2 linked regions of the Rhinolophus ferrumequinum genome follow. The main gene of each other region encodes a partner of the protein of the gene in region 2 in a complex. Links are inferred from orthologs where the notes say so. Each region holds a gene or a part of one and is shown on either strand. Other genes may lie near its edges.

Evidence for each region.
Region 1: the proteins of GLI1 (region 2) and SUFU are in contact, whole or in part, in a crystal structure (PDB 4KMD), measured with the Homo sapiens proteins. The link is inferred for Rhinolophus ferrumequinum from reciprocal best matches to the Homo sapiens genes GLI1 and SUFU. Residues at the interface, in NP_005260.1 of Homo sapiens: Gly119, Ser120, Tyr121, Gly122, His123, Leu124, Ser125, Ile126, Gly127; in NP_057253.2 of Homo sapiens: Leu144, Tyr147, Asn153, Thr154, Phe155, Gly158, Asp159, His160, Val161, Ser162, Trp163, His164, Gln212, Asn265, Leu266, Ser267, Gly268, Val269, Ser270, Ala271, Glu376, Leu380, Lys398.

Annotation. Positions count from the first base shown.
Region 1 is NC_046299.1:22,535,226-22,546,637, forward strand, and holds the start of SUFU (suppressor of fused homolog), read right to left. Parts: upstream 4,174-11,412; 5' UTR 3,990-4,173; coding exon 3,808-3,989; intron 1-3,807. Other genes in the region: ACTR1A (alpha-centractin), read left to right, coding at 5,812-5,859. UniProt on the Homo sapiens protein: Negative regulator in the hedgehog/smoothened signaling pathway. Down-regulates GLI1-mediated transactivation of target genes. Down-regulates GLI2-mediated transactivation of target genes. Part of a corepressor complex that acts on DNA-bound GLI1.
Region 2 is NC_046293.1:56,444,748-56,456,025, forward strand, and holds the start of GLI1 (zinc finger protein GLI1), read left to right. Parts: upstream 1-7,082; 5' UTR 7,083-7,344; intron 7,345-7,556; exon of another isoform or gene 7,557-7,706; intron 7,707-10,464; 5' UTR 10,465-10,489; coding exon 10,490-10,589; intron 10,590-10,819; coding exon 10,820-10,912; intron 10,913-11,151; coding exon 11,152-11,278. Other genes in the region: INHBE (inhibin beta E chain), read left to right, coding at 3,344-3,641, 3,884-4,641. UniProt on the Homo sapiens protein: Acts as a transcriptional activator. Binds to the DNA consensus sequence 5'-GACCACCCA-3'. Regulates the transcription of specific genes during normal development.

The sequences.
Region 1 (11,412 bases), on a different chromosome or scaffold from region 2:
GGATTGTCTCTCTTCCATGGTGCCTGGAAACATTCCACAATTCGAGGCAAGAGGTGCCTCAGTCAATCCATTGGCCTCTGTAGAAAGATCATCCTGAGCATTCCCTAAGGGCATTGTTTCTGGAAGAAGAGGCTCAACTCCACTCCCGTCTCTTAGACAGCTAATTCCTGAAAGACTATATTGTGCCCTATGTTAATTACAGTTTGTTCTTAACAAACCCAATGCCTCCAGACCCCTGCCCACACCCCACAAAGCAAAGCTGGTCTTTTATCATGCAAGTGACAAAGGCCAAACTTAGGTTGGCTCAGCTCTGCACAGATAACTGCAGAGCCCTGTGAGGGCTTGCATCCGCAAGAGGATCCCAGGAAACTGCAGCCTCAAAGGTGGAGCTGGAACATTAAATGATTTGGGGCCTCTCAGGACCATATTAAACATCCCCCATACTTCCAACACAGAGGCAGTTGAGGAAGAGATTTAGTCATTATCTCACTCTGAGGATTTAATTCAATAAGGGTTCCCGTTAGTGGAGTAATTAGTGTTCTTTCAAAAAATCCTGCTTTTCTTCAGAATGGATAGGGAAACTTGGTAAACTTGAGAAACAGACGAAATGGAAACCATCAGCGGAAGGAAGTCTGCATTTAGCCCACAAACACTCTGCATTTGAGCTGCCTCGGACATCTGACTATTCCACAGACTGCAAAAACTTTGCCTGCCCTTGGGACATCGATGGAGTGCGCTTTGCAATTGGGATCATATGCTAAAGGAACGCAAACAACCAAATAAAAGATGTGTTACGTGTGATCCCAGCAAGCATGCCAGTGCCACACAATTTAAACACTATTTAAAACCAGTAGGTCTGGTTTCATCCTCTTTTGTCAGGATATTATTTGCCTTTGTAGAAATCCTTATTCTCTGCTAGGAAAGCTAAGTTATTTATAGAACATGTAAGAAAGTCACTACAAATAGCTTAGGGACAAATCTCCATATCTTTCTTTAACTTTGATTTTGCAAAATCAATTGACTAATCCCACAACCAGTCAGATTTAGGGAGGTTTGTCGGGGGAGGGAGGAAAGAAAAGGGTAGCTATCCCTGGAAGTACCCCATGATAGCTGCAGAACCCCAGAATAGATGGAAGTGACGACAGGCTCCATATCTGCTCCAGTTTCCTACTGCAAATTCCCAGTCCTGACCCTCCTCCAGCCTTGGTCCATCCAGCAACAAGTGGGAAAACTGCATTCCCCGTTCTGTGCTTCATCTGCCACACTACTGCAGCCCTCTTTCTGGCCAAGTGTCCCAGGAGGTATTGCATCAAGGAGAGAGGTTTTACCTTAAAACTCCAACTGCAGGGAATAACCAAGAATCAGACAAAATCAATCTAGTCTCCAAGTGCAGAGTGTTCTTCTGTTCTACTTACTCAGAGACAGGATGGGTAGGCCATGAGCATGTAGAAAATAATCGTATTGTGCATTTAGAAAAAAGATGTTATCCAAGGACCCAGAGCATCCCTCAACTTCATACCTTGAACACCTGACTTCACTCCCCAAGGCAGTTGCAGGACTGGAGTGACCGCAAGGTACAGGCTCTGCCCCTCTGCGTCCGCTCCCTGCTCACTACAGTCTTGGCTTTTAGCGTCCTTGCTAGCTAGAGGCCACTAGCCAAAGAGCCACCCTTTTGTCACGAGAAAAGGAATACCAAGGTACCCTGGACCACAGCCAGACTCAGGCAGCCTGGGTCCATCATCCTGCCATGAGAACTGAAGAGGCCTTGTGGTATCTCTAACATGAGGGACATCGATGAATTCATTTCAGGATCTTAATTATGCAAACCCCGCCAAACCTTAGAAAGAACTAGTCACTGAGCTGTTCCCTCATATTTTTCGGCGTCTAGGCAGCATTTCTAATTTCACAGAGTGCTGTAAATCGTCGTTATTTGTCATTACATGTTAGTCCATCTAAAGATAAGTCCTGGCTGGTTAACAAGCTTGCAGCAAGAAGGAAAAAAAACAGTTGCCCAAACCAGTCTTAGTCCTTTGCATGTGCTTCAATACCTTTTCCATACAACACTATCCTCCTGGCCACATGGGTGACATAAAAAGTTGCCCAAGTCTGTCAGTGGATTTCTCCTTACACTCAAATGAGGCCTGAACAAACAGCATGGCAGAACCAGGCCCACTTTCCTCATGACACAATCCAATATAGTTCATCACAATACATATTTAAGTATAGAGGTGCGATTTGAATGGGTGATTAAGTTATCAAGAGCTGTGATTCAGTCAGAAGCTCTCTTCAAAAACTTCTCTCAACCAAAGAACAGTTTGCTTGCCAGAAAGAACTGTATCGCTGGCCACACCTCCTCCTGGCTACCAGACAGAGGCAGGTTGCTCCCCATGGCCTACCTAAGGCGCAGGTGGCAGGTCCCCAGGCCCTTCACACTGTCAGCCTCTTTACATGCTCCCGTCTACACCGGGAGCTAGCTGGCCTAAGTCCTATAGCCTAGCTTCTGCCATCTCCGGAGGAAGTAAGATGTTGTCACGGAGGAGACTCAGTTCTAAAGGGAGAGGTAACCAGCAAGGCATCCACTCTTTGCACTTCCCTCTTTGAGTCTATCTGCCCTTTAGGCCACACCGCAAGCAGCTGCCTGAACAGTCTTCCAGGACTCAATGAAGGGAGTCATCTAATACAGTGCCCGCATGAATGTGGTTCTGGACAGATTCAACCAATTCCTCCGTCAACTTTTGGTTGAGAAAGACCACGAAGACAGACCCTTTCCAACAGTCCCCATAACACCAGTTTTGCCCAAAGGTTGCAGGAAGAAATAGGTTGCAAACAGGAATGAGAAACTGAAAAAGACCATTTCTACTCCAAGGGTAGCCCATCTGTAAACAGGTCTGATCTTTAACAACTACTTGGGGGTTACTCTCAGCTTCTCTCAGAAACTGCTTCCTAAATCCTGAAGCTTGTGGCCAGGAAGCTCCTCAACATCTCACTGCCTTCTTTCCTCCCTGTCCAAGTCCCAGGTCTTCAGCATTTACTGTGGTCCCCTTCCATCCTCAGCCAAATCATGGATCTCCCTGACCCTACCTCTGTTCTAGCCAATGTCTTAAAGCAAAGCAGCTGCAGAGGCAGAGGAAGCTCTGCAGGAAAAAAACTGTGCAGAGTAAGCAGAAAGTTTATCAGGAAAAGTTGTTCCGTGAAACTTCAAACCCCAAAGCACCGCACTGATATGATGTCTGAGTTCATTGGGAAAGTATCAAAAGGAGACCTCCTCATCTCTTCACAAGCATAACGCTCACAACTTGCTCTTCTAAACGGCAGGAGAGCCCGAGTCCACAGACCCACCCCTACCCTGTGCAGTCTCATACCCTCGCAGCTCCTCCAGCCGCGCTCCTCCAAAGCCCTCTCATATGCTCCCCAGGCCCCGCCTCGTCTCCCCCATCCCACTTCAGCTGCCCCCCCTTGGCTTCCCCTCGCCCACTAATGACCCCCTACAGGCGCCCCCTCCTTTCACCACGTCTACAGTTCCCACTCTCCTATCTTTCCCCGCTCAGCTCCTACACACTCCCAATTCACTCTATTCTCCTAATTCCAGTTAACCCTTCAACCTCCCCGCCCTCGTTAACCCTTCGCTACCCACAGGCTCCGTTAACCCCTTTGTCCCCATTTACAACTCCTTCCTTCGCAGCAGGAAGCCCTTCATCCAAGTGCTTTAACCATTCTTCTCCTCCTCCTCCGAATATTACTTCGTCCCTGGTGCTTTAACCCTGCCCAGCCTGCCCAGTTGGTGTCCCCGCGCGGCCCAGGGCATACCAGTACTTGACGATAGCTGTAACCTGGAGCGGGTTCGGCTGGTCAGGGTAAAGACGACGGCACTCTCCGTAGATGGCGTGCAGTCCCGGAGGGAACAGCGAGGCGAAGGCCGGAGGTGCAGTCGGGCCAGGGGCCGGGGGCGCGGTGGGGCCGGGGGCGCCGCTAGGCCGCAGCTCCGCCATCCGGGCGCGTAGGGCGCTGGGAGAACCCGGGAGGGCAGACGAGCGGCAGAGCACTGACGCGCCAGCGGGCGAACCTGGAGGGTGCGACTCCCCTAGGCGATGGGGGCTGCAGCGAGGTCTAGGCTTCGCGCCTGCGCACAGCGCACCGTCCGCCCAGGCCGTCGCCGCGGCAGAGATAGCCAGAGGTTGCCTGGGGGGGCCGCTGGACGCTCAAGGAGGCGGGGCACCGGCGCGCCCTATCCCAGATTCTATTGGCTAATGTCTGTGCCAGTCACACGTGGGACTGCGTGCCTTGACAATAGGTCCCGCCTCCCTCTCCCTGTGTTAGGGGTATCCCAAGGCTCTTGGCCTCCCCCTAGTGTTAGGAGGAGCCCAGGTTTAAATACAGATGTGGAGCCATCCTTTTGAGGTGCTAGGGTCCCACATAAGCACTGGGAAGTGCGCTGACGAAGAGCTTATCACTGGTCGGGTGACACGCTAACAAGGATTTAAACATAAGTTTGACAATAGATTAATTCATTCCTCCATTTGGCACTAGTTTAAATAGATTTAAATCTGAATGTTTCCTACACCTTGGAATGTCCACTAATCGTATTGACTGACACCAACACCACCAAACTCAGGGGTCGTATGTCAAAATACCTATTATGGAATTCTGATGGAAAGTAACAAGAGTTTGGTAAACTAGGATCAATTAAAGAAACTTCGTAATTATTTAATAGATGTTAATGACAATCTCTTCTTTGTTGTGTTTTAGGCAGAGATATGCAGATTGTCTTGAGGAACACCAATGTTCATTATCTACTATGGGCCTGCCATTCTCCATTACTTTGACTCTCTGTAACTGGGAGAATTTTTAATTTCTAAGGCACCGGGTTGGGAATTATTTTCTTGTTTACAATAACTTTTCAAAAAGTAATATCTCCCACTCAATGATCTTGAAGAAATTCCAAAAGACGAATAGAAAGGAGTCCAGGCTACCAGTGCTATTGACTACAAGCATCCCTGCAACTTGAAGCAGCGGAGGAAATAATCTAGAGAAAAATGCACTGAAATCATTTGAAAGCAGTGACTTTTCACCTCCATTTTCTCACTCATCAATGTCAATTCTCTACCAATAATTCCAAATGCCAGTCTTCAGACCAGTGTTAGCCTGTTGCAAAGTTTATACCTATCCAGGAAAAAATGCAAAAAGCAATGAAAATGTGTTGTTATTTTTTTCCTAAAAAGCAAATTTTATGCAATTTATTTCCTTTGTTCTGGGAATATGTCCTTCCCCGTATGTGTGTGTATTAAAATTTATTTTATTAGAGTGTGGTGGCCATAGATGTTTATTAATATCTTATGGATCCAGATAAAAACATGGTAGCCTTAATATTGTCCAGAAGTGGTGCGGAGTGGCAGAACTGATCTGTAAAATCCGAACATCTACGAATTACTGATCAATCCAAAGCGAACTACAGACAAGTACTTCAGCATGCACTGCGAATCCCTCCAAAGGGATCCCTACAGATCCAAGCTTGCAATACAACCATCAATCTGAATCCCCGTGTATTTATCTATGGAAACTACAAAGCCCAGGGTACTGTGCGTCGGAAACGCAACACCGGGTAATGGGTCTCTTAAATTAGGCGGGGCTCCGAAACTGCCTTGCCCTCTAACTGCAGGTGCAAGACATCGTGGGGGTTGTAGTTCTTCCGAGGCGAGGTCTGGCCGCTCCCTGGCCGCCCTGCATCAGCGGCTAGACTGCGCATGCGCGTCAGTGGCGCTAGCTGCGGACCCGGCAGGCAGTTCCTTCCTCAGAAGGAGAGATTCCTCTGCCATGGAGTCCTACGATGTGATCGCCAACCAGCCTGTTGTGATCGACAACGTGAGTTTCGTCTTCCATTTCTCTAAAGGGACTCATGCTCTCCTCCCCGAAGGGATCGCTTCCCGGCTTTCAAGCCTGCGCCGCCGGCTCTTTGTCACTGGTCTGGCCTGTCAGGCGGGTTCAACCGCCGCTACCTCCGTCCTTCCTCCACCCATAGACCGCACGCAGGGCGGCCGGCCAGCAACCATGGGATAGAGAACTTGGGAGTGGATTAAGGGAACAGCTGTAGTCCGAGCCGGGTCCTTGGGCCCTTGACTCTTAGGGGCCTTAACCGCTCTGTGAGCGCCCGGCACCCGCCCCTCCCCAGTTTCCGATAACTCTATTGGCTGTTCTGGCTGTCCATCTTGACCGATGACCCCGCCTCTGAGCCTTGCCTGATGAGGGCTGCCCTCTGCAGTGATTGGCTTGCGCCCTTGCCGTTCTTCCGGGCCGTCAAAGCGTTTCTCTTTAAGGGGCGGGGCAGTGCACGAGGACTGTGGGGATTGGCTGTCGGAACTCTCAGTGGTAGGGCCTGATGGGCTAGGGCCGGTCCGCGGGTGGAGAAGGGCTAAGTTTCCTTTGGTCTGGAGCTGGCCGGGTTGCTTGGCGGTGTATCTGGGTGGGGCCCAAGAATGTGGTGTCAGAAATGGCCATCAGATTTCAGTTATTTCTGTGATTGTAAATTATAGCGTTAATAAAGTTCGAGAAGAAGGGAGAGTGACAAAGCAAGCAGGGAGGTACCTTCCTCTTTGGAACGCCTAGTTACTGGGGGGGAAATTTTACCTACATAGTGTTTGCCAGGCTCTCTAGCGCTTATGGAGGGCTTTCACATACTCGTAACCTTCAAGTTGGATCCTCACAAAAACTGGGTACATAGTTAAGGCAGGACGTTTGATGCTCGTTTTACAAATGAGAAAACGAGCGCGAAGAGGTTTCAAACAAGGTCGCACTAAATCCAGTGCTTTATCCGTTATTCCATTCCCCCACGCCAAGCATCAATAGTGATAAATGAAAAGAATCTAAATATTGCTCTTATTTTGCGCGGAAGGAGACAATCGTAAAACAACTGCATTTCTTTCCTCCAAAGGTTTGATCCCACCAAAATTGGTTGATACCTTTTCTGTACCCCTTCTAAATCTCTCCATTGAGGCAAAACTGCCCGTTCCCTCTCTCCTAAGATGACTGTCAGATTTGCTCTGTTGATCCAGCCCTCTTGGACCTTAGGTAAATTGCAAGGTCTTTTCATTTGCATCATCTCTTTTAAGCTCCAGCTCTGGTAGGTAGATGGGAATCATTATCCTCAGTTTATGCAGGAAAGTGAGGCTTGGAGAGGTTAAATAACAGTATTCGAACTACCAGGTTTGTGAGTTGAGGAGCCAAGACTCAAATCGAGATCAGGTTCCAAGTTCCTAACTTTTTTCAAAAAAGGGTGCTTTTTTTTATTGTTAGCTTTCCCTCTCTTCAGGAGTATGGCTTCTGCCTTGAAAAGCAAGAAGTTGAGTTCAATGAGACAAATCATTTTGGAGAGGATTTTGTTTGTTTGTTTGTTTCACTCACTAGACTATTAAATCCTTGTGGGAAAAGATGGTATCCCTTTATTTTTTAATACTTTCCCCTTTCCCACCTCCTTCCACACACCAGAGTACCTATGTTCAGGCATCACTGAGTACTCAGTGTTTTTTCATTGCATTGATGGGTAGGTGGATGAATGACTAAATATCTCTATCACAGTAACAATGATGTCCCTAAATAAAGGATGGGGTGGGGCAGCCTAGTTAGTTACTGCACAGGGTTGAGTAGGACTCCTTGTTCTTGACGTTGATTTTTCAGAAACCACTATTTCTGTCTTCAGCTTGTTTGTGTGTGCTGCATCTGCCTTCTTCATAATTTGAAAAAGAAATTAGCTCCTTTTTTTCATCAGCCATGAAGAAGCAGTGTGTCCATCCCACCAAATCTGCTTCTTGAATTATTGGGCAGAAGTTCAATCTCCCCCTCATTTTCTTTAATATCACTTAGGCTAATGCTTCTTAGTTTCTCCTTTCCCTTTCTTGGTAATGTATTTGAAATTCATTAAGGTAGTGGTGCATTTTCATTGTTAAGGTTTAAAGAATCAACTTGTTTTTTTTCTCTAGGAAAGCATTTCCTTTATTATGCCAATAATTCTGCCAATCGGTGAAGTAGGAGAAACTTAAGTAATTGTCCCATTAGGGTTTACTGAGCATCTGCCACATTTTTATATTTGGGGCCTTCGGTAGTTCTTGCTGTTTGCCATTTAGAGAGTTTGTTTCAAAGTGAAAGGTGGATAAGAAAAATCATTTTAAATATTTGAGGCAATTATATATTGTGAGAATAATGTATCTTAGCAGGTTTAACATCTCCATAGGTTAACATATGGCTACAATTTTGTTTCTGGGCTAAGAAGAGTGTAATTAAAATAAAGGAGAACAAAGAAAGCAGGGAAGAGAGGGAAGAGCCTCGTTATTGAGTTCACAATCTTTCCCAGTATTAAGACAATTGTTGACCACTCCTTTCATCCTATTCTGGCACCAAACCAATTCATCAGAATTTAATGAGAAAAATGGAGGGGAGTGAGGGGGCGGTGTACTTGCCTGTGTTTTAATGACAATAGAGTGATTTTTAAAAACTAAACATAAGTTATTCTTTCCAAAGGCATACAACACAATACAACACAACACGATAATACAAGAGGAGGACAGCTCCGGGAGGACATTTTGTGGACCACCACACTTTGATTAGATTACTATGTTTATTCTAAAGCTCAGGTCTTTGCTAAGATCTCAAAGGTTAAGTTCTGTCCTAAAATGGATCAACATACTTAAAACTGTCTATCTTAAAAGTCTTTGTGACTATGTGAGCCTAAATGCAAGCACAGTATCAGATCTTTACAAGTTCATTAATAAGAGTTCCACTGTTTTGGAGAGATGTTATGCTGCTTCAACCCCCTTTTTAAAAAAATGAGATACATTAAAAATGCAGAAAATTTTTGAGAAGTATATAATAAGCACCCACATACGTAGGTAGCATGTGTCTACCACCCAGGTTTAATGAATGTTGACATTTGCTTCAGATTTGTTTTTTTAGGAAATAAAACATTACGGGTATAATTGAAAACTCTTTGTACCCCTTCACAATCCCGTCCTCTCTTTCTGTTCCAGAAGTAACCCCAGAAGCAACCATAATCATAAAATTGATGTGCTCCTTTCCATCCTTGATTTTATATATACGTTGTGTGCATACTGTTTGTATTTTGAATTTTTACTTAAATGCTGGCATCTTATTCACCAGCTCTTCTTTTTATTATAGAAAATTTCAAATATAAACAAAAGGAGAAAGAATAGTATAACAAACATTCACATATTCGTCACCTAACTATAACCATTATCAACTCTTGGCCAATCTTTTTGATTACATTCCCACCTACTTTCCTCTCCTACATGCTTTCAAAACAGAATCAGTATACTGTTATCAAACCTAATAACAATAATTCCTTAAGATCATCAAATATCCACTCAATGTTCAAATTTCACTAATTGTCTCTTTTTTTTACAATTTGAATCAGCTTTTAAGATACGCTGATTCACTTAAGTTTAAGGGACCCTAGAATTAGCTGAAGAAATGAAGGCAGTGTATTTATTTAACATGGCCACTTGCCATGTGACATCCAGGCTGTTGGTTGTACAACTTCAGCAAGAATCCATCCCTAGCTTAACGGAAAGGGTGAAGGGGAGGTGACTTGTAGAAATACCTCACTGTTCAGTTATGTGTATTTTGAGAGCCAAGGATGGGCTTCACACCAGGTTAGGTGCTCTGAGGGTAAGAAGGAAGCCAGATACTGTGTGGAAGGAGAACTATCAAGAATGAGTTGCTGGGGGCCGGCCCGGTGGCTCAGGCGGTTAGAGCTCCATGCTCCTAACTCCGAAGGCTGCCGGTTCAATTCCCACATGGGCCAGTAGGCTCTCAACCACAAGGTTGCCAGTTCGATTCCTCGACGCCCTCAAGGGATGGTGGGCTCTACCCTGCAACTAAGATTGAACTCGGCACCTTGAGCTGAGCTCCCGGATGGCTCAGTTGGTTGGAGCGTGTCCTCTCAACCACAAGGTTGCTGGTTCGACTCCCTCAAGGGATGGTGGGCTGTGCCCCCTACAATTAGCAACGGCAACTGGACGTGAAGCTGAGCTGCGCCCTCCACAACTAAGACTTAAAGGATAACAACTTGAAGCTGAATGGCATCCTCCACAACTAAGATTGAAAGGACAACAACTTGGAAAAAATCCTGGAAAAATACACACTGTTCCCCTTCCCCAATAAAACCTTAAAAAAAAAAAAAAAAGAATGAGCTGCTGGGAATGCCTAGAATAGTGGTCTGCAACTCAATGCCTGCAGAGGCCAAGCAGAGACATTAAAAAGGGAGAGGAAGAGGAGAGCCTTAAAGGTGATATAAGGAATATGGAAGGTGCATTGAGCATACCTGACCAAAGGCCCAGCTGCTTCTCCTTTTCAGCCACTTGTCCCCATGCTGGAATGCAGGCCCAGTGTTGCCAGACCTGATTTTTCAAGAGAAATCAGAAATGTTAAATTTCATATGCAGTCTCCAATTTTTAACTGTCAGAAGTTAATGTAAAAGTAGTTTGTGGTCTATAGAGACAGAAGTAGATTAGTGGTTGCCAAGGGCTGGGGGTGGGGGGCAGGATGGAGAGTGACTGCTAATGGGTACAGAGTTTTTGGGGGGGATGATGAAAAAGTTCTGAAATTAGATTGTGATAATGATTGTATAACTCTGAATATACTAAGAACCATTGAGTCACACACCTCGAATGGGTAAATTGGTGTGTGAATTTTATGTCAATTAAGTTGTTTTTTAAAAAGTACTTTGTGGGCCCAAAAAAAGATGTCTTTGGGCCAAAATGGGCCACGAGTGTCCTAAAAGCTAAGGCTCCATCCACCTTTCAACATCCTTTTCCCACTTGTAAAATAGGAGACAGTTAGCTTCCTACCTGGTCATGTCCAGAATAATCCAGAACACATAGGATGAAAGTCACCCAAGCCACGGGACCTATAGCCAGCAGATACTGGGAGAACCTTGCTATGGGATTTGCTATTTGTTTTCCTGTATCAGAAGGAGAATGAAGGGTTAGTGGTGGTTGGCAGATTTGAGTCCTTAACACCCAAATATTTATGAGACTACTTTTTCAAAAAGCCTCTACAGGCATTTGTTCACTTGGTTTTGCCGGAGTGAATAACAGAGTGGCAGCCCATTTGCCAGGGACACAGTTTCTAGTTATAAATACTGTTAAAGAAATGGACATGACCCTTTTGTATGATATCATGGTATGGCTTGAGCAGAACAGAGAGACTGGCCATCCTAGTGCCTGACTTTGGCAACACAGAGAGGGAAAACTGCCTCCCCCTGTCCCCACCCATTCTTCACCCAACCGCTGGCCTGGCAGGCCAGCTCCTGGGTCTGGCTCCTAGGTCTTGTGCATTATTCCCAACACTGCCTTGGCCTTTTCTGTACCACCTCTGCCTGGGGCTTCTGGCATTCCGGCTGCTCAT
Region 2 (11,278 bases):
ATTTTTGCTGGCCAGAAGGCTAATAAAGACCTGGGTTTTACCTGCTCCTCTCCTTCTGTACCTACTCCAAGAGATAAGACAGATCACTGCCGGTCAGCAACCTGTGGGCACACACACAGTAGGATGCAGAGGAATGGCTCAGAGCTGTCTGGCTTCCCTTCACTGATCCCCAGGGCTCCATCTAGGAGTCCAGCCTGGAAGCTGGAACTGGCCAAGGGCCACTTGAATGGGACTGAGAGAAGAAAAAGAAGGCCTGGGGTGAGAAAAGGGAGGCATTTGCTCTGAGACTGGGTCTTCTCCAGACCTTTGCCCTCTTCCCCCACCATCTCCTCCCTTTGGTTGGACAACCCTGAACCATGAGGTCGATATTGTCTGCAGCCCAAGGCCGAGTTTTCGCAAAACCCATGTGTCCTTCGGGTTACGTGATGTCTGTGTTTGCTCAGCTTATAACCCCCTGCTACCAGGGTCTGAGGTCCCTGGAATGGAAACCCTAGAGGAGAAAGTCTGAAATGGACCTTCTGGGAGACTGCAAATCTGAGTTGCTGAGGAACTTCCTGAGCAAACTTATGGAAGTTATCCCCCAGTTTTCTTAAGGAGATCTTCATCTAAGGAGAAAATCTAAGGCAGTCTTCTACTGCTTCTCCCTCCCCACACTCCACCCCCGTCAGATCTTACCTCCCTCACTCCCTCCCTCCCTCCCTCCCACTACAGCTCTAGTCCCCAAGACCAAGGCTAAGGGGAGGTGAAGTGGGGCACTCACCTTAGGGGCAAAATTTTAAAGGGATGCCAAAAAATTCATCAATCAAGATAAATAATATCTTAATTCAATATTTTTAAAACATCAAAATTAATGCAAAAAAATCCATGATGAACAAAATGACAAATTTTAAAATAAACACAGAATCAGTATTATTCCCTTTCTTTTTTGGCTCCACCTTTTGTAACAAGGGGAAAGAGTGGGTCTGTCTTCTTCCAAACCTTTTCTTTCAGAGCCCCCTGTCCCCTAACTCTAGACTCAGTCAGGCTTTTCTCATTTGGGCAAGATATAATAATCACTCAGGCTTCTTCTACTTCCTTACCCACACCCAAGCCTGTCACTAAGCCCCAGCCCCCAACCAGGTTGGTGGTAGGGCGGGCCTGTAAGGCAGATGGCTAGGGTATTTATAACCCAGGAGCACTTCTTGGGAAAAGTGATTAAGATGCTAAGAGTATATTTATAGCTGGGTTCTGACGTAAGTGTCAGTGGGGAAGTAGGGCCAGGCCAAGCACAGCAGCAAGAGGGTAGGAAGAAGCTGGAAATTGGGGACACCTGACAGAGAGGGTGGGGAGAGGTGGGGTCAGTGACTCCTACAGCCACTTCTTGCTGTTTCCCTTGACTCTCGCCTGGCACTAACAGGTAAGCCCTCTGAAACACAATACCATGGGCAGAAACCTCTACTTTGCAGTCATACAGTCCAGACCTGAGGGGATAGAGAGCTGTCACTCACCAGCTTTACAGACAGAGAGGGAGCTGGCGAGAGTACTGGACAGAGGGGCTTGAATGTTTTAGGACCTGGAGAGATGTGCAGGGTGTACAGGAGGGTCTAAAAGTCTCATTGTCCCTTCTCTCCACTCCCCACCACACAGTGCCCTGAGTTTCTAGGAAGAGCCTCGCACCCATCACCAAGCTCCATTGCCCCCTGTCAATGTGATGAGGTCCAAAAGCAAAGGTAGCAGTGAGGTGGGTCCTGACGACAGCCTCTGCTCTCTGGTAGTGGCTAGGTGAGAGAGCAGAGAGACCGGCTTCTCTGTCTCCTGTTGGAGAGGCAGAGTCTCCAGAGTGTGAGGCTGGGAAGTGTTGCATCTCTCCACTCCCCAGAGTAGCCCTTTCCCTAGGAAACTGATCAGCTCTGACGGCTGCTGTCCAGTGGCACGACACTGCCACAGAGTGGACACTGGTGGTACTGAGGCCCAGCCCCCAAAACACCTCCTCTCTCTCCCCCTGGTGCCAGACCTCGCAGCGTCTCTCCAAAGCCCCCACTGGCTAAATAGTGGGAAACTGAATAAAATGGAGTGGGGGCACATTTACAAATCACAGTCACATCCTCCTAGCTTCTTGAAGAAACTGGAGCCTAAGGAGAAAGGCTAGCATGAAACCTTCCCTCATGAGTTCAAGGTGGAGGGGCCTTGGCCCACCCATATAGTCCATGAGGAAGTATGGTAAGGAGGGCTGGGATTGGCACTAAGGTTGCTGTGCTCTGCTTTGCTCTTAAAAGTCCTTAAACTACCCATTTCCCACCCCCATTAACAGAGGCCTGGCACCACTTCTAGGATACCCCACATTTAGGCAACCCTCACAGTCCCCTGCAAGAGAACCAGCAGCTGGGTACAGGCACTCCCAAGTCCCATGCCCTCTGCCAGCCTTGACGGACTCTGCCCTGCTAGATGATTGCATCACCCCCACCCCCACCTCTGGGTTTCCCCAGACATCACAGTAACATGCCAACACCTATGCCCCTGCCCTCTTCCACGTTGTGCTTCAGTCCAACTGGACTCTGGGCAGCCAGCACAGGCAGGGGCAGGAGGTGACTTCTGTGTCCCGTGGCACTGCCACCTTGGCCTGGGCAAGAGGACTCCGTTCCTCCCGCCCCCACCCCCCAACCTCTCACCCCTGTCCCAGCCCCATTTCTAGAAATAAAGAAACCAGAGTTCTTCTTGCCCAGACCCTAGAGAAATCACCACTGGAACTTACAGCTGTCTCATGAAAACTGCTGCAGCAGTGGCTCTGGGGCAAGTTAAAAGGCTGGAGGGATGGGGGAAGTTGCCCTTCCCCACCTTGCTATATGGAATCCCCTCCCCCGAGTCCCAGACCTCGGGGACTGAGCATGTGAAATCATCCTCTTTCTTGCATCATGCGTGTCCACATTGCGCCCCCACCCCCATACCCCTACCTTACGCTCAGTGACCAGGGCCAGATGGTGAAACCGGAGCTCCAGGGGGGAACGTCCACCCCCTGTAGGGGCTTGATGGGCAGCACAGCTGGCCAATCTGGGGCTCAGAGGGTAGGTCTGCTAGCTGACCACGAGGTGAGGGAGCCCCAGGCTGCAGGCTCTAAAGAGGCCCGTCGGTAACCAGACATGAGCTGTGAGGGTCAAATTGGCAGATTGTGCTAAACACAGCTACCCATCGGACCTTCCTGAGTCCCCGGCAATAGAAGACAGGTGGCTCTACCATTGGCTAAGGGTAGGTGTGGCACTGGTGTCTGCTGCTGCTGTGCCCTCATTGGCCTCCACAAAATCACTCAATAGAAGGAGCAACTGCCATCTAAGGCTCTCGCCCAGACCCAGGGCCATTCACCAGGAACATGGAGCTACCTGATGTCCAGGTCCGGCTGGTGCTGCTGTGGGCACTGGTGTGGGTGCATGGGGCAAGGTCTGTGTGTCCCTCCTGTGGGGGCCCCACACTGGCGCCTCAAGCAGAACGAGCTCTGGTCCTGGAGCTAGCCAAGCAGCAAATCCTGGAGAGGCTACACCTGACCAGTCGTCCCAGAATAACTAATCCTCCACCCCAGGCAGCACTGACCAGAGCTCTCCGGAGACTACAGCAGGAAAGTGTGGCTCCAGCTAATGGGGAAGAGGTCATCAGCTTTGCTACCACCACAGGTGGGTGAGGGAGAGACAGACAGACAGCAGACAGGGAAAGGGAGACTGACAGAAAAGGCAGACAGAGCTGGCTGTGGGAGGAGGAGGAGGTGTTGGGGCAGGAACTGGTTGTGGAGGACGAAAGGCAATCCCTGTTTCCTCTAAAGGTGGGTGCTAGGGAGAGCATGGGCAGGCTTGCAGGAGTCTCAGAGGAGAGCTCCATCTCTACTATTCCCTCAGTCCTTTCTCCATCTCTCTGGCAGACTCCTCCACTTCACCCTGCAGCTCCATGCTCATCTTCCACCTGTCCACTCTCCAGTCCCACCACCTGCACCACGCGCGCCTATGGCTGCACGTGCTCCCCACCCTTCCTGGTACTCTGTACTTGAGGATCTTCCGATGGGGCCCACGGAGGAAGCACCGAGGGTCCCGCGCCCTCTTGGCTGAGCACCATATGACAACTCCTGGCTGGCACGCCCTGACTCTGCCCTCTAGTGGCTTGAGGGGTGATGAGTCTCGTGTCCTGAAACTCCAGTTGGACTGCAGACCCCTAGAAGGCAACAGCACGACTGCTGGACAACCTCGGAGACTCCTGGACACAGCTGGAGACCAGCGGCCCTTCCTGGAGCTTAAGATCCAGCCCAATGAGCCTGGAACAGGCCGGGCCAGGAGGAGGACCCTGACCTGTGAGCCTGAGACCCCCTTATGTTGTAGGCGAGACTATTATGTAGACTTCCAGGAACTGGGATGGCAGGACTGGATCCTGCAGCCTGAAGGGTACCAGCTGAATTACTGCAGTGGACAGTGCCCTCCCCACCTGGCTGGCAGCCCCGGCATTGCTGCCTCCTTCCATTCTGCTGTCTTCAGCCTCCTCAAAGCCAACAACCCTTGGCCCCTGGGTACCTCCTGCTGTGTCCCTACTGCCCGAAGGCCTCTCTCTCTCCTCTACCTGGACCGAAATGGCAATGTGGTCAAGACAGATGTACCAGATATGGTGGTGGAGGCCTGTGGCTGCAGCTAGCAAGACGACCTGGGGGTTTGCAGTACAGAGATCAAGATGGGGGTTCCCAGGCGAAAGGCATCTGTGGCTGGAGGCATCAGATTCCTGATCTGCAACCCCGCACCCCGTGGGCCACCTGGCAGTATGACTGGCTTGACCCCTATGGGACCCAAATGGGCACTTTCTTGTCCAGACTGTGGTCTATTCCAGGCTGGTTAATGTGTGGGGAGATGGGGAAAGTGTGTCCTCTGAAGGAATCTACCCAGAAAGCATGATTTCCTACTCTAAGTCCTATGAGAAAAGGGCAGAGGTGAGGGAGGGAGGGGGAGAGGGAAGGAGGGAAGGAGAAGGCTGAGAAAAATGACTTAGTCTCTCCCAAGAAGAGAAAGTCTTCGAGTGAGGGAAGGATGAAGCAGACTGAGGGCCCAGCAGGTTTGGGACAGGGGTAACAGGCTGGCCAAGGGCGGAACTATTGAGGTGCTTTAAGGGAAGGTCAGGAGGGAAATGGGCAAGGGGCTTAGGGAAGGTGTTTAGGAGAGCCCCAGAAATGAGAGTCAGGAGAGAGGGGTGCTGAGCCTGAGAAATTTCTTGGTTTTTCCCAGCAGGGGGTAGGGCCCACTGGGGAGACAAACTTTTATACTTTCCTAATAAAAATGTGGAAATAATCAGTAAGTGTGAATCACAAAGGTGGGCTGGGATGATAGTCTAGAGCAATGGTTCTCAAGGTGTGATCTGGGGACCCCTGGGTGGTCCCTAGATCTTTTCAGGGGTGTCCACAAGGTCAAAACTATTTTCATAATAATACTTAGATGTTATTTGCCGTTTTTAATTTTCATTATCTCAAAAGTGTACAGTGGAGTTTTCCCGAGGCTGTGTGACGTGATTACGTCATCTTTCTGACATCATTTTTAATGGGATGTGTGCTTGTGTATTCTTGGGTCACAAACTTTTTTTCAGTTTTAACTTCTAATATGGTAAACTAATATAAACCATATAAACAAAAGCTCAATAATTTTTAAGAATACAAAGGGGTCCTGAGACTAAAATGTTTGAGAATCGCTGATCTAGAGACCTGGGTGGGAGGAGAAAGCAATATATCTAAAAGAACTCCCCTGGAAGAGAGGACACATGGCTGAGACAGGAACATATGTAGGGTCCCTTTTTCTCCAGTGACCATTGGTCTTGCGTGGCCCGTTGGGTATAACTGGCATCTGGGTCAAAGTCATGTGGGGAGGAGGCTCAAATAGGGCTCCTTATCTGTCCCTCACAGCTACTATCTATATTTGTCTGGCCCCAACCTCTTCCTAGTTTCATCTTTTCCCCTTGACTCCCAGATTGAACAGTTAACCTACTGACCCTTCTAGACCCAAGGAGGTGGTTCTTGGAAGCGGAACTAGGATGTGGGAGGTCTGTCTGAGGGGTGACAGAAAAGGAAGGGACTCCTTTCCCCCACCATGCTTTCTCCCCTTTCTCATAAAGAAAGGTCAGGCAGACTAAAATAGCTGCCCCTTCCCCTGCATCCGGTCACCATGGCAACACAAATCCAAAGGAACAGGGCATTCTACTATCAGACACTAGTGCTCTGCACTAGCAGCCTCTGCCAGTGTGCCCCTCCGTCTCTTTGGGCTCATACAACCCCCTTCCCTGGGCTCCTAACTGGGCTTTGGTGAGGGGACCGGTAAAGCCAACTCCTTTTAGCTCCCCCAGTCTCCTCTGCCTCCAGGTTCCTAGAGGGTGTCATGTGCCAAAAAGGCCAGCAGAGGGAGTAGACGGCCTAGAAGAGTAGAAAGAGTGGGCAGAGCAGAGGTGCGGAGGTGGCCGCAGTCTCCAGAACTTCGAGACGAAGGAGAACCCGTGTTACTCCGGAACAGCGCCTCGGTGCTTGGGTTCCTTAGTAACCTTGTGAACACACACTCTGCACCAAGAGCCTCAGCCGCTATTCCTCTCTTTTATGTTCCGTAGACCCCTCACCTTTCGCCCAGGGACCCCCAACCCAACTCTGCCCCAATCCTGTTTTCCACCAAATCCCAACCCCCTTCTTGTATTTATCATCCAAAGAGTGAGACCGGCTGATAAACTACAGGTCTGCAGAATGCTCAGCTAGCACTAACCAAAGTCGACGACCTTACCTCCAACATTATCTTTATGGGATAAACTTTTTCGTCGCCCCCCGCCCCGCCCCCAATATATTTCTCAATCTGTTTTTTCTGGCTCTGGTTCAGGGCCTCTTCGTGGGCAGCCGATCCAAAGATCCATACCGGGATTTACTGCCCACCACTAGCAGCGTGTTCTGCGGGGGGGGGGCGGTTAGGCAGCCTAGGGTCCCTCAAGGGAGGGGGAGGATCCTGGGGGTCCTGGGGGTGCAATAAGCCCGACACCCCCTCTCTCGCTTCCAGCTACCCCGCCTCATCCTCCAGAACAGCAAGAGGGAGGGAAATAGGAGGGAGGTGAGGGGCGAGCGGGAAGAGCGGCGGCGCGCCAGCGGCTAGAGCGAGAAAAAGTTTTTGCAGAAGGGAAAAAAAAGTTTGCGCTTCTCGCGGGTGGTCCCGGCTTGCGGCCCGTAGGGCTGGGCCGGCGGGAGGGCTGGGGGCCAGGTTAGGGGGGGTGGGGGTGGCACCGAGGCTGCGCTACCGTGGCTCTGTCCGCCCCCCCTCCCCACCGCACACCCCCCAGCCCAGACTCCAGCCCTGGACCGCGCATCCCGAGCCCTGCGCCCAGACGGAGGTGAGAGGGGGGCAGGCGGGGGACCACCTGGGAGCTGTGGGGGAGGGGGCCTGAAGGGATGCTCTGCTTGCGAGGGACTCTGCCCAGCCAAGAGGGAGAAGTGGGGCACAGAGGCAAAATGGGGTGGGAGAGCCTGGGGTGAGATATTAGAAAGTTTGGAGAATTTTTTCATTTATGTCTCCCTTTCTCTGTATCTTTTTTTCTTCTGACAGCCTGTGTGTCTCTGTCTCAGGCAACCGTGGATCTCTTTGTCTGTCTCCGCCTCTCCCATACATTAGAAACATCTCACTTTCATGAGGTTGGAATGAAGAGGCTGGAGGGACGGCTAGCTGGAGGTCTGCGTGGTAGACAGGGAACTCCAGGTGTGTCTCTGAGCGCCGGCAGGAAGATGTCAGTGTTTCTGAAAGGAGGGACAGCTAAGGAGAGAGCCCTAGGTGGGGTGGGGATGGGTGTGTATGAGGCGACAAAATCACTGGGGGGCGGCTGGGCTTGAACCCCTGATCTGCCTTATGACAGATGTGCTTGTTGGTGCATGTGTTTTGGGGAAAAGGAGTGTCTTCTGGATAAGGAAGGGGACTGGAGTGTCTACTTCAGGCCCTAGAGCGACTCCTCAAGGAATTTGGACTCCTGAGTCCCTAGGGCTGTGGTCAGGGTGCTAAGGAGGAGCCGAGGAGGCCTAGTCTTGACCCTCTGACCTCAGGACCACCAGGGCAGCTGGGACCAGCTACAGGGAGACCCCTACTGGGACTGGGCGGGACCACCGGCCACTGCCTGCCTATGCATCCCCGTTGGCCCCCTCCCAAACAGGAGCTGGGGACCGAGGCCCCTCCTCTGACTCAGACCACCCTGCCTGCCCTTGCTCCCCGCTCTGAAGCCTCTTTCAAGCCCCGTGACCCCGAAACAATCCGCCCTGGGCAGCTAGCTTTGGGGACAGGATTAGGGAAAGGGGATCCCATAGAGACTGAGGACTGAAGGTTTTAGGGGGCTGGAGAACTAGGGTCTTCATAGGATAGGTCTTTACGGTCCAGTAGAGGGAGAAGGAGGGGCGATTTCCCTGGGGAGTTGTAAGGGCCGGAGTTAAGGTGGTTTTCCCTAGGGGGGCGGGGTCCAAAACCCCCCCATTACCTCCTCGGCATCCCCTGCTAAGCGGCACAGACCCCGCCCTTGACGTCACTAAGGGGGTTCCCGGGGGTCTGCAGGGGTTAACCCTTGGGAAGCCAACTAGGATACCCAGGAGCGTAAGGTGCCCTGACTGCTTCCCTCCCCACAAACACACCTTATTTACCCAGTCACTTTTCCTACAGTTTCTGGATTCTTTCTTTTCCGTCCCGCCACTGGGACCCCCACTCTTCAACAGTGCCCCCCCACCCCCACCCCCGGCGCGCGCACCACTCACTACCAGCTTTCTGGATGCGCTGAGGGGAGGAGGGAAAAATTTGTCCCGCCTCTCAACACCACCCCCCCCACCCCCCGCTACACTGAGGCTCGCTCGACTAGGCTCCCGGGGCGGGCGGGGGAAGCGGAGCCGTCTGCAGCCAGAGCCTGCGGCGGCTACTTGGGTGGGCCGAGGAGGCACGGGGGCGGGGAAGGCGGGACCAGGAGAAGGGGGGCGGGGCCGACTTCGGGGAGTTGGGGAGCGGGGGTGCGAGGGGGACTCTGGAAAATTGGGAGACACAGAAGATGATTCAGGGTTCCAGCCGAGAAACCCTAGAGCTCCCTGCCCCATCCTGCACTCTCATCCACACCCCAGAAAAACTTAACTGAAGCTGGAAAAGTTGGCTAGTGTGAAGGGGAATCGTGGGTGGGCCGTGGCACGCGTGGGCGAGTAGGGATGTCGCCCCATTTCCATCGCGGCTCCCCTGCGGCTGGGCAGTGGGGCAGAAAGATGACAGAACAAGCACGTTTGGGGGGTCGTTTGCGAGCCCCCGCCTCCTTCCCCTGGGTGAGTCATAGAGGAAGGAGGCGGGAGATGTGTCCTCCGATCCAGCTGCCAGCCAGCTGCGCCCCCCCCTCCATAGTGCCAAGGTCGAGTTGGGAGGTCTTGGATGCGGGATCCGGATCTCCGCTAGGAAAGGAGGAGTTAGGAAGGGTACAGCCCAGGCTGCAACGCTCGGGCTGGGTCCTCGGGTCCGGGTAGCGCTCCCCATCTTACCCCGCCCTCACCCTAAATCCCAGCATCCCGGGATCACCCACCACGCGGGCCGGCCCGCTCCCGGTGGTTCTCCACCCTACCCCGCCCCACCCCACCCTCACTCCCGGGAGACCGGAAAACCCGGGGTGGACCAAAACTAGTTTGAGGAGAAAAGCGGATAGCGGCACCCTCTCCTCCCTCACTCACTGCTCTTCTCAAATGGATGATGATTTTGTTTTTTTATTCTCCCAAAGCCTTCCCTCAAAGTCCTTTTACTGTTCCCCCAAAACAGACCAAAAGAGTTAAGTGGGCGCCCAGATTCAAACCCAGAATAACACCAGCTTTCATCCTTTGTACTCAGCTGACCCTGGAGGCTCCCCTCGGAAACCTTATCCCCTTCTACTCTGTTTTCTGACTTAGAGAAAAGGGCAGATCCGTCGTGCTCTCTCCTGGCCCCACCAGCCTCTCCGTCTGGGCTGCAGCAAGGGCTCCCTCTACTGGACACTGGAGAGATTGTAGGCGAGGTGTCCCTGGGCAGAAACAAATGAAGGGAAGGGAACCGGGTTCAGGCAGAACAGCCAGCCCAGAGCTTGAAGTCAGATGCTCTGCGTCTGAGGAGTCCCATCCCACTCCTCAAAACTGGCCTATGGTCAGAGCAAGAAGAAATAGAGGTCGTATGGTATTAAAATCAATTGAAGCTCATATAGGCACAGTTACTCCACAACACCCCACTACACACACAGGGAAAGCTCCTACCCAGTTCCCACAAAAATCGCCAACACTGCCCCTGCCTCTTTGAGACTTCTCTCTTCATCCTCACTCTGGCTGAATGATGCTCATTTCAACCTGGTGTCCAATGGCAGATGTCTTGGAGAGGCTGGGGGCACAGGGGAACCTCTGCCCAGTGTTCTGTGCCTGAATTAGTTATCTGACTTTCCCTATTTCCCTCCCACCTTTATAACTTGCAGATCTCCCTCCCTCTCCTGCAGTGCCTCTACACTCCTCTGAAACACCATGTTCAACCCGATGACCCCACCACCAGTCAGTAGCTATGGAGAGCCCTGCTGTCTCCGTCCCCTCCCAAGTCAGGGGCCCGCCAGCATGGGGACAGAAGGTTAGTGCATATACCAATTCCCGGGCCTTGAGGACTGGCAGATCTCTCACCCTGCCCCAGGAATCCCTCTTCTATCTCTTATCCCATGCCAGTTTCCCATCTACAAGAAGATTTGAGGCCCCATGTCATGTGGGCTTAGAATATGGGACCAGGCCTTGCCTGGGGTTTCAGGGTGAAGATTTGTGTGTCCCCCATTCTCACCCCCCATCCCAGCTGTCTCTCTTTTCTAGGACTGTCCGGTCTGCCCTTCTGCCACCAGGCCAACCTCATGTCTGGCCCCCACAGTTATGGGCCAACCAGAGAGACCAACAGCTGCACCGAGGGTGAGGCCTCAGGAAACATCTCTGCCCCTCTGGGACTTGTTCTGAGGGAGAAAGTGGGAGGGAAGGGGATCGAACTGGGAAGAGGAAGTGCTTGGAGATGTGAGTGAGGGGTCAGAGCATGATCAAGAGGTCACAGATGGGGTCAGTAGGGCAAGATAGAGTCATTTTTTTGCTGAGGGTCAGGACTCCCGGTTGGGTGCATGGAGAGACATGCCCCTTTACCATATTTATCTCCCCAGTTTCCTGCCCAGCCCCACTCTTTCCTCCTCCCCGGAGTGCAGTCAAGTTGACCAAGAAGAGGGCACTCTCCATCTCACCTCTGTCAGATGCCAGCCTGGACCTGCAGACAGTTATCCGCACCTCACC